Ovis aries: one gene and its partners. The protein of the gene in region 3 purifies or fractionates together with the protein of the main gene of each other region. This does not show direct contact. Links are inferred from orthologs where the notes say so. Each region holds a gene or a part of one and is shown on either strand. Other genes may lie near its edges.

Region 1 (3,650 bases), on a different chromosome or scaffold from region 3:
ATAGATTAGACATTAGTTCACTTCTGTAACCAGTGGTTCTATATCAGTTTTTAAAATGTTCAAAATGTTATTCTTCACATGTAAATGGTTTTCTGTACAGAAACTCAGATTCCATAAAGGCATTAAAATTACCAAGCTTTCTTCATAATCTTCGGCCTTTGGATTCACACACACGATCAGGCGTACTTTCCCTTCCCCATCAAAGTAGTTCTTGAACAGATGGGTTAACTTTGAATCTCGATATGGAACCATCTATAAACATATCCAAACCCAAATACATCAGGTAGAAACTGCACACAAACAAAACTATACAAGTATACAAACTTGTATACAAACTGCTGCTCACCTTGTTAGTACCGTAAGTTTGGTTCTCTCTCAGGACCTCCATACATGTTCTCAGTGTCATTAGTGACTGGTTAATGTTACCTGACAGAAAAAAGTACACAGAAGTCATTTGAAGACACCAATGGAGTAGCTAGAGCATGGTCTGTCTGTCTGTGAAATATCTACTTCATAGAACTCTTAGATGGAAATTACAGATGACAGATTTTAGTGGGCTCAGCTTAAAGAACTGTCCATATCTGGCAATGTTGCAGTAGAGTGTGAGTACTGGGATTTTTTTATGTAAAGACTTTCCACTGAATGTAATATTATACTTCATGACCCGTAAGATTTCTTTCAAATCTTAAATACCATGAAAGAGTATATTGAGTACAGACGTTTCAGTTCAGTTCAGCCACTCAGTCGTGTCCGACTCTTTGCCACCCCATGAGCCGCAGCACGCCAGGCCTCCCTGTCCATCACCAACTCCCAGAGTTTACTCAGACTCACGTCCATCGAGTCGGTGATGCCATCCAGCAATCTCATCCTCTGTCACCCTGCTTCTCCTCCTGCCCCCAATCCCTCCCAGCATCAGGGTCTTTTCCAATGAGTCAACTCTTCGCGTGCGGTGGCCAAAGTACTGGAGTTTCTGCTTTAGCATCATTCCTTCCAAAGAAATCCCAGGGCTGATCTCCTTCAGAATGGACTGGTTGGATCTCCTTGCAGTCCAAGGGACTCTCAAGAGTCTTCTCCAACACCACAGTTCAAAAGCATCAATTCTTTGGCACTAATCATGCCCATATTTCAGGCTACAGTTGGCTCCATCCGGACATCAATGTCTCCCTTACACCAGAAGGAGCTCCTGTTTCTACCAGTCAGGTGTCTCAAGAGCCAACTAAATCTGTTCCCTCTATATCTAAAGAAGGTTTCTTAGGCAGCATGCTTGTTAGTCCTGGCCACTCGTTTGAATTTCTGAGTTAGGGCAAGTCTGACAGGTCTATCAAGCCAATGATACAGGAGATGTCACCTGCAGAGACCCCAAAAGTATTACAACACAGAAGAGTTTGTTCATTTTGAAGCCATGCTTTCATTCGTGGCCCCCTTTCAAATACAGAGCTCATCTGTGCCTCCATGGTACTCCATGATTCATGCTTCTCTTCCTTGACCCCCGCTCGCACTGTCCTTCCTCCGTTCCTCCACGTGTTCTTCGAAACCCACATCCTTGCTAACAGACTTGCCATACCCTCAGACCTCTCACAGAATGATCCGTTCCATCTCTCTCTAATGGCCACCTGTGATCTGGATGTTGTCCACGGGTACACTTCAGGGAGTGTGCATACGTGGTTGGGAAGTAAATGCATCTTTTTTCTTACTAGCCTCTGAAATTTAGCTGTTTCTTCAATTATGAATGTAGACCAAACACGTATAATAATGGTAGTAGTAGTATTTGTGGTGTTTAATCAACAGAAGTCACAGATAACTTTTATAACAGTTTATTGCTTATCTCAAGATACTTATATTCATTACTACTTTGAAATTATGTAGTCATAGACATGCTATCAGGTTTAAGGCATTAAGAAAGTACATAAATTACTGTATGACAAAGGTTTTAAGATTACTTTAAAAAACACATTTCAGTCTAATTGCTTTCTTCTGTAATCCTGTATTTTATGCTATACATTCTAAAATACTGTGAATCATATCCACAGGCTTCACCCCACCCATGATGCAAAACCCTACAGCCTTGTTTTTATTTCCTAGAAGAGTGGAGCTTCTCCTGCAGCCTTGTGAAAAAAGCTGCCTGCTTTCTAAAAGCCTGACATACTGAAAGGATGGTGAGCAGCAGGCGGCCAGCCGCATTTTCCTAGTCCCTTGCTGCTGTTCTTCAAAGACACATTCCCCTTACATGCCAGCTCCTGGGTCAACTTCAGCATCTAACAGGAAGGTCACTCTAACATGCCATCAGAGGGCCCAGGCCACAAGTCCAGGAAATCTTTCTCTCTTTAGCATTATAGCCATGCCCTAAACCTTGTCACTCAGAACTCCGAAACCTCTGGAAACCTGAGATTGTCGTGTGCCCCAGCCACAAACCATCCCCAGTCTAGTTTTAACTCCCTAACTGTGTCAGCTCTTCCCCATCATGTCAACACTGATACAGCTTCTGTTCCTGTCCCCAAAGCTAAACCTGCTTTCCCAAGGTCAATCCTTCCTCTTGTGATCTGGATTCTGGATGCTTTGTCTTTTCATATAGACGTATATAATGCGTGTGTGCTGTTAGTCCTGGGCAACGAAGCCTGGAGCTTCCTAAGTGGCTCGGTGGTAAGGAATTTGCCTGCCAATGCAGGAGACACAAGAGATGCAGGTTCAGTCCCTGGGTTGGGAAGATCCCCTGGAGAAGGGAATGGCTACACACTCCATGATTCTTGCCTGGAAAATCCCATGGACAGAGGAGCCTGGTGGGCTACAGTCCGCCAGGTCACAAAGAATCAGACTTGACTGAACACGCACGCAGAACAGCTAAGCCAGCACGCCACAGCTGCTGAGCTGCAACTACTGAAGCCCGTGTGCTCTAGAGCCCCTGCTTCTCAACAACGGAGGCCACCAGTGAGAAGCCTGCATGCTGCAACTGGAGAGTAGACCCCCTCACTGCAACCAGAGAAACCATGGCAGCAACAAAGGCTCAGCACAGCAAAAAACAAAAAAAAGTGTGTGTTCAGTCCTTCTGTAACTCCAAGTCACCTGGCTATTACCCCCTACTCTCCTTCCCAGACTCAAGGATCTGTTGTCCTCGAGGCCCTGCCCTCAGTGTTCCTCTTTGTACTCCATGAATAATCTTTTCTTCCCCATTGCTTCAATCATGTCTTCACTAGCAAAACCTAAACCTATAAACCTCAAGTCAAATCTCTCTCCTTCCATATCTATCTACTTCTGTATCCAATTGCTAGACACCTACACTTGAATAAATTGAATATGTTCAACATACAACTCTTAGCTGCCCACACCTGCACCTCAGACTACTCCTTAATTAAGGTTTTCTTTGATTTATCCTCCTCTCTTCCTTCCACTTTTCACTTTCATGCACTGGAGAAGGAAATGGCAACCCACTCCAGTGTTCTTGCCTGGAGAATCCCAGGGACAGGGGAGCCTGGTGGGCTGCCGTCTGTGGTGTCACACAGAGTCAGACACAACTGAAGCGACTTAGCAGCAGCATCTTCCTTCCTCTCCACATCCAGGTGGGTCTGCTTCCAAACTACCTCTTAGTTTTGGCTGACCTTTGCCTCCAGGTGACAGGACTGCTCATCTGAATTACTGCAAAAGGTTCCCAACTG
Region 2 (4,172 bases), on a different chromosome or scaffold from region 3:
GATTTAAGGGCCTAGATCTGATAGTTAGAGTGCCTGATGAACTATGGAATGAGGTTTGTGACATTGTACAGGAGACAGGGATCATGACCATCCCCATGGAAAATAAATGCAAAAAAGCAAAATGGCTGTCTGGGGAGGGCTTACAAATAGCTGTGAAAAGAAGAGAAGCGAAAAGCAAAGGAGAAAAGGAAAGATATAAGCATCTGAATGAGAGTTCCAAAGAATAGCAAGAAGAGATAAGAAAGCCTTCTTCAGTGATCAATGCAAAGAAATGGAGGAAAACAACAGAATGGGAAAGACTAGAGATCTCTTCAAGAAAATTAGAGATACCAAGGGAACATTTCATGCAAAGAGGGGCTCAATAAAGGACAGAAATGGTATGGACTTTATTTTGGGGGGGGGGGCTCCAAAATCACTGCAGATGGTGACTGCAGCCATGAAATTAAAAGATGCTTACTCCTTGGAAGAAAAGTTATGACTAATCTAGACAGCATATTCAAAAGCAGAGACATTACTTTGCCAACAAAGGTCCGCCTAGTCAAAGCTATGGTTTTTCCAGCAGTCATGTATGGATGTGAGAGTTGGACTATAAAGAAAGCTGAGCACCAAAGAATTTATGGCTTTTGAATTGTGTTGCTGGAGAAGACTCTTGAGAGTCCCTTGGAGTGCAAGAATATCCAACCAATCCATTCTAAAGGAAATCAGTCCTGAATATTCATTGGAACGACTGATGCTGAAGCTGAAACTCCAATACTTTGGCCACCTGATGCGAGCTGACTCATTTGAAAAGGCCCTGATGCTGGGAAAGATTGAAGGTGGGAGGAAAAGGGGACAACAGAGGATGAGACGGTTGGATGGCATCACCGACTCCATGGACATGAATCTGAGTAAACTCCGGGAGTTGGTGATGGACAGGGAGGCCTGGAGAGCTGCAGCCCATGGGGTCGCAAAGTGTCGACTGCGGGACTGAACTGAACTGAACTGTCAGCTCAGTAAATCTTCCGGAATTCTTCCTATTCAATGGAGAGATGATCAGTTAAGAATTTCCAAAAGTCCTATTTCCGGGTCTGGGGAAAACAGGCCCAGAATAATTTGCCCTCAAAAAGACTCATTTGCCCTTAGTCAACATGGTATCTTCAATGCCTTCAAGAAACGGCTCCGGAGGGAGTGGGGGGAAGGGAGAAAGAAACCCCAAAAACTGGTGACCTTAGTCAAGATGGGTGCCTTTGGCCTCGCTCTATCAGAATGCGCATGCCCGTTCTTGTCCCCGCCCTTCTCCGTTGCCCTGGCCGTGCGTCAGAGCGTAGGGGGGCGGGGGGGAAACACCGCGGGAGGAATAAATTTCTCTGTGATTGGTTGGTGCAGATTTCAAACCTGGCCTGGCGGCGGGGTGCTGGTCCGCCGTTGGGTGAGACGCGGAGGGGAGTAGAAAGCTGCCCGGGTGGGGTCAGGCGGACCCGACAAGGTGGGTGCTGGGGGTTGCGAGAAGAGGTGTTTCTGGCGCTGGGTTTTTTGTGGGAGGGAGGCGTCCCTGGTAGTGAGCTGTGGCCTCCACGAGGTCGGGGTAGGGGGAGGCCGGCACCTACAGCTCCTCCTCCGCGGCCCTCCTCGGGGGCCGCGGGGCGCGGGCTGCCTGAGCGGGCTTTGCTTAGGGAGTGGGGGGGTTTCTTTCGTGGCGCCATGTTTTGTGGAAAGCCGGGGGCGTCTTTTTGAGATGGTGACTTCAGCAGGGCAGAAGCTACCCCAAAGAAATGGCTTTCACTTAAAGACAGAAAGTAGGTGGGGTAGCAAGACTTTTTCGAGGGTTCTTTTCGGAGGGACAAAACTTTTTCAAAGGGAAAAGCCCTGATGTTCTGGAGGCCGAGGCGGCTTGGAGTGGAGCCCCTCTTTCTAGTGGGCTGTGTGAGTCTCGGGAAATGATGACATTTGCCTTTCTCATTAAAATCTCAGCCTTAGAAACACAAGGCCTTACTTTGTCCTTTCACATACATCCCTGTTCATCTCTCAACAGAGGGAGTCTATAGGTGGGAATGTATAGGATTGTGGGGTGGGTGGGAAGATAAGCTTTTTTTTTTTTTTAACAAACGTCATCGTACTCTAATGTGGTGGGTGAGCTTTCGAGTTATTGAAAGTGTTTAGAGAATACGCCTTTCCTGTAGGTTAATCATTCAACAGGTATTCAGTGCCAAATTAAGTACAAGACAGTCTTGGCTTTAAATGAGCTTGCAACTTATTTGTGCTAATAGAACTTAGAAAGATAACTGTGGTGAATCTAGTAGGCCTTTACACTTGAGAATACTGTACGTTAGTCCGGCCCTTTTAGAAAATATTTTGGCACCATTTATCAAGAGTCATAAGAGATTTTTTTTACCGTCTGACTTGGTACTCCAAGCCTTGGAAATGCATTTTTAAGGAACATGGCCACTTGAAGAAAAACACTCTCCGTAGTGATGTTCAGCTTATTCGTTCATTGAATATTTTGTCATCATTTGCCAAATGTCAGGCATTGTTCTAGGCACCAGGAGCTCATCAGTGAACAAAAATCTGTGCCTTCTTGGAAGTTAAACTATTGGGGAGACAAACAATAAACCAAATAAGTCAGTTAATATGTAAATATGTTAGATGTGGATAAATGCTTTTGAGCAGGAGTTAAAGCAGGAGTTTGGGGGGAAAGATGCAATTTGAAAGAGTGGTTAACAATGGGACAATGTTTTTTTTAATTGAAGTATAGTTGATTGACAGTGTTGTGTTAGTTTCTGGTTTACAGCAAAGTGATTCATGTTCTTTTTCATATTTTTCTCCATTACGGATTTTCTCCATCATGAATTATTACAGGTCCTGGTATACAGTAGCACTTTGTTGTTTGTCTGTTTTATGTATAGTAGTTTGTATCTGCTAATCCCAACTCCTAATTTATCCCACCTCCTTTCGTTTTTGGTTGCCATAAGTTGGTTTTCCATTTCTGTTTCATAAATAAGTTAATTTGTGCTGTGTTTTAGATTCTACATATGAGCAATGTCATGGTGTTTGTCTTTCTCTTTCACTTCACTTAGTATGATAATCTCTAGGTCCATCCATGTTGCTGCAAATGGCATCATTTCATTCAGGGCTGAGTAGTATTCTACTGTGTGTGTATATATATATGTGTACATATGTGTATATATATACACATGCACATGCCCCTTCTTTATCCATTCATCTGTTGATGGGCATTTAGGTCGTGTCCATGTCTTAGCTGTTGTAAATAGTGCTGCTGTGAACATTGGGGTACATATATTTTTCAAGCCATTGTTTTTTTTCTGGATATATGCCCAGGAGTGGGATTACCAAATCATATAGCAAGTCTGTTTTTAGTTTTTCAGGACCTTCCATACTGTTTTTTCCATAGTGGTTGCTCCAATTTATAATCCTGCCAACAGCGCAGGAAGGTTCCCTTTTCTCCATACCCTCTCTAGCATTTGTTATTTGCACACTTTTAAATTATGGCCATTCTGACTTGTGTGAGGTGGTACCTCATTGTGATTTTGAGATGCATTTCTCTAATAATTACTGATGTTGAACATCTTTTTATGTGCTTATGGGCCATCTGTATGAGTAAATGACATTTGAATAAATACCTGAAGAAAGTGAGGGAGTGACCATAAAAGTAGAGGTAAACAGAATTACCTAAATGTTCAAGGAAGAGAACAGTTAAATAAATGTGCATCAACTTCTTGCAACTTAATGGAAATATGGTAGAAAAAAGTAAGACAATATATAAATCTGAATGCAGTTCTATGAAATATGATGCATAATGGGCAAAGATTACTTAGGGAGGTGCATATAGTTCAGGGTGGTGAGGTTTTAGTTTCACCATTAAAAAAATGTTACTTTTTTCTGAACAGAGAAAACTAACAGTATGAGGCAGTGTTTTATGTCTGCCAGATGAGTGTTTTAGATAATAAAGAGGTTGTTTTGTACTAAAATGATTACAGAACGTTTTCCATAAGTTGATAATACTTATATTAGACCCTGAAGAATGGAACACTTTGGAATGGAAGGAATTTACAGAAGAAATAAATAAAAGGAGAACTTAGTATAATGAACTGGTAATGATTTTATGAAAAATAATAATTTGTCTCATTCTGCTTTTTTTGGGGGGCCGTACTGCACGGCCTTGTGGGATCCTAGCT
Region 3 (3,650 bases):
AATACAGACCAGAATTACAGCATTTCATCCAAAGTTTTTGGCCACAAGGTTACTTTTATCAACCTCTATTCCTACCTGACATGCTCAATTGCAAGTGCTGTCTGGTCAAATAATCCAGAATCATCAAACACCACCCACAGCTCCTGCAGGGGCAACCGGTATTCCTTCAGATCAAGGAGTTCTTTCATACACTCCAAAGTAAAAGCGCTCACTTGCGATTCACAGAGGTACGGATCGGCAAGCCTCACCACTGCCTTCAAAGCTGTGAAGTCTACATCTGTGACCTGAAATTTAAAATGTGACTTAACATACACAAATGAAAATTAAGATACATCTAAAACACTATTTACAGCCTGATTTCTTTTTTAAAGCATGAAATGGGAGTGGAGAGCCTTCTTCCATACATAAGGACAAACAGAACAGACCTGGCTTGTACCCACATGGAGCTGACATTGTAATCAAAGTGACAAATAAGGTGGCAACAAGTATGTGACAAAGAATAAGTAGCAGGAGTGGTGGTCTGGTTTTACTGGAAGGGTTGGGGAAGTCTCTTTTGAGCTGGGATGAAAAGGAAGCAGCTGTTTCAAGAGGAGGAAAGATGAAAAGGCCCTGAGGCAGAGATGAGGTTGGCAGCTGAAGAGCAGAGAAGCAGTTTTTCTTGCTGGAACAAAAGGAAGGAAATGAGGTAGGGGCAGCAGGAGGGGACAAGAGAGGCAAGATCAGGACAGGAAGGGCACTGAAGGAGCTTGGCTTTTACATGTTATCCAACGATGAGAGGCCAGAAAGCCAAAACCAGACCTCTAGTATATGCGATGCATTAGAGGAATGCAGGGGAATGGCACATTTCTCTTCTAAAATAATGATTTTGGCTGCTTTTAGAGAACTGAGGTATGTTGAGGGGAGGGCGTTACTATCATAATCAACTTAATGGCCTGAACTGCAACCAAAGGTATTAGCATAATCCAAAATTTAAACATCCATGAGCAGCAGCTGCTTGCAAACCACTGCCTCATATACAGTCACTGTAGGATGTGATGTCATTTTCTAAAGGGGCTGCAGATACAAGCTGTACACACACTCCGTGGTTTACCATTTTAGTTTAATGGGGTTTTTTTTTTTTGTGGTTCAGTTAACAAACACTGAGAAAAATTCACAGCTCTAAGTAGAGTGCAAATTTAATGTAAAAGGCCCAGCCAGTTGAAAAATAAGACTGTTTTTACTTTCTGCAGTGGAACATAATATCAATAGATTAACTATATACCTACAAATCTGTTAGGCAAAAAATAGGCTAGTTTTAAAATGCCTACTTGGTTTGAGCTACTTTAATGGGCTATAACTAAGAAGATAAAAAATTAATTCAAACCCCACTGACTTTATAAAAAACTAATTCAAACCCCACTGACTTTATAATTAGGCATCTTATTTTTTAAATGGTCTCAAATACCTCCCCCACTTCATAGGTTTCTCGTCCATTTCCCTTTTTTAAAGGACGGTGAAACTTAAACCACCCCAATTCCCTCTTCAGTTGCCTTTAAAATTTGCAGAACACTTCTTACACCACAGCAATTAGGTGTGAAAAGACACGCCATTTTCAATCAGCTCATAAATCTTAATTAAAAATAAGCACTTAGGTTACAACAGTCTGAGGGAAAGTGTTTTTAGGTAGAGATAAATGTCTTAACAACAGAATTAAATTTACCTCAACTAGCACCTCAAACACATTAGTGTGCCAGACTGCCCGCCATCCAGATGGTTCGAGGACCTTCTCTAAGAACTCAGCTGTGAATTCTTTTACCTCAGAGGCCTTGCAGTCAGCTACAAACAAATTAAACACAATAAGAATTGAGACAGCGTAAAGCAGAGAGAGGTTAATAAATCCTTGTAAGTCTACTTTCTCAGAACCAGCAATGGCAGTCTGAGGAACTGAGACAATTTACCTGTAAATTAAAAGATAAAAGAAGCAAAAAAAAAGGACCTACTCACCTAAAATGTAATCTTGATAAGCTCTGAATCGCTCATAGAACAAAAGTTGACTTGTCTGGAACATTTCTGGGAAATGAGTTTTTCCTTCTGGCACAAAGCTTTGTAAGCTACTACCTGGTTTAGCATGATCACTACAATCACTGCATGAATCTTCATTTTCAAACAAACCTAAGAGAGCAACAAAAACAGTCAGGTGCAACTATCCCAGACACCTCGAATGCCTATCAACCGCTTCTATTTTCATATATTTGCTTAGAAATTTCAAATAAAATATAAACAAGGATTTGGATACAATGCTTTACTTACCTCTATCACTATCAAAAAAAATTTTTTTTTTCTAAATTTAAAAATATCTCAAAACTCAAGTTTTACTTCAGAACAGTTAAGAACTTAAAATCTTCCATGGGTTAGGTTTTTGTTGCTGTTCTGTGAGGCAAAGAAAGAGGGTTGTTTTTTAATTCAGTGGAAATCACCCAAGTTCTCCTTCAGAAGATATAGCTATGATTATTACTAGAGCTATAGAGGAAGAAAAACAATGACAAACCTAGGCAATGTATTAAAAAGCAGATATATTACTTGCCTACAAAGGTCCATATAGTTAAGTGGTTTTTTCAGTAGTCATGTCTGGATGTGAGAGCTGGACAAGAAAAAAGGCTGAGCGCAGAATTGATATCTTTGAACTGCGGCACTTGAGAAGACTCTCGAGAGTCCCTTGGACAGCAAGGAGACCAAACTAGCCGATTCTAAAGGAAATCAACCCTGAATATTCACTGAAGGACTGACGCTGAAGGTGAAGCTCCAGTACTTTGGCCATGTGATGGGAAGAGCCGACTCACTGGAAAACACCCTGATGCTGGGGAAGACTGAAGGCAGGAGAAGGGGATGATGGAGGATGAGACGGTTGGATGGCATCAATGGACATGAGTTTGAGCAAGCTCTGGGAGAAGGGGAAAGCCTGGTGTACTGCAGTCCATGAGGTTGCAAAGAGTCAGACACAACTGAGGGACTGAATAACAACAGCAAAGCAACTCATAATGGTCAAATATCCTACAATCATTAAAAAAAAAAAAATTCCATAAAGCTGTATTAAATGTAGAGGTGGTTTCCGACATATCATCTCAAGACAAATTGAAACTTCCCTTTAATTTCTACAATATCACCTGTCAATACCACTCAATAAACACGGATATGCACTCTTAATAATGTGTAACATCTATCTCTTTTATACTTTAATAAAACTTTATTACACAAAAGCTCTGAGCGATCAAGCCTCGTCACTGGCCCCAGATTGAATTCTCCTCCAGAGGCCAAGAATCCAGGCGTCTTTTGTGGTTCAGCAGCAACCTTTTATCTTGGGGGCCCGTCGGGGATTCTTTAGGACATGGCAAGGATGCTTGCTCTAGTTCTTTGTTCTCCTAGCGACCATGTTTTCTGCTATAATTTACTAACTCTACAGTGTGCTTGTGTGAATGAATGACATGCCCCACACAAATCAAGTGAGGAGCCCTGTGCTGCAGTTCCACGGTGACCTCATAGGGCTTAAGGCAGGGGGTTTATATCGACCTGCCAATGGACTCCCCTGGTAGTTCAGATGGTAAAGCGTCTGCCTACAATTCAGGAGACCAGGTTCAATCCCTGGGTCAGGAAGATCTCCTGGAGAAGGAAAT

The links.
Region 1: the proteins of SHCBP1 (region 3) and KIF23 purify together in Homo sapiens (affinity purification with western blotting; 9 studies listed by BioGRID and IntAct, with this or other methods). This does not show direct contact. The link is inferred for Ovis aries from reciprocal best matches to the Homo sapiens genes SHCBP1 and KIF23.
Region 2: the proteins of SHCBP1 (region 3) and RACGAP1 purify together in Homo sapiens (affinity purification with mass spectrometry; 8 studies listed by BioGRID and IntAct, counting the BioPlex papers as one, with this or other methods). This does not show direct contact. The link is inferred for Ovis aries from reciprocal best matches to the Homo sapiens genes SHCBP1 and RACGAP1.

What each region holds. Positions count from the first base shown.
Region 1 is NC_056060.1:16,318,318-16,321,967, reverse strand, and holds part of KIF23 (kinesin-like protein KIF23), read right to left. Parts: intron 427-3,650; coding exon 347-426; intron 253-346; coding exon 133-252; intron 1-132.
Region 2 is NC_056056.1:136,282,214-136,286,385, forward strand, and holds the start of RACGAP1 (rac GTPase-activating protein 1), read left to right. Parts: upstream 1-1,363; 5' UTR 1,364-1,902; exon of another isoform or gene 1,903-4,172.
Region 3 is NC_056067.1:14,454,327-14,457,976, forward strand, and holds part of SHCBP1 (SHC SH2 domain-binding protein 1), read right to left. Parts: intron 2,152-3,650; coding exon 1,984-2,151; intron 1,816-1,983; coding exon 1,700-1,815; intron 285-1,699; coding exon 76-284; intron 1-75. UniProt on the Homo sapiens protein: May play a role in signaling pathways governing cellular proliferation, cell growth and differentiation. May be a component of a novel signaling pathway downstream of Shc. Acts as a positive regulator of FGF signaling in neural progenitor cells.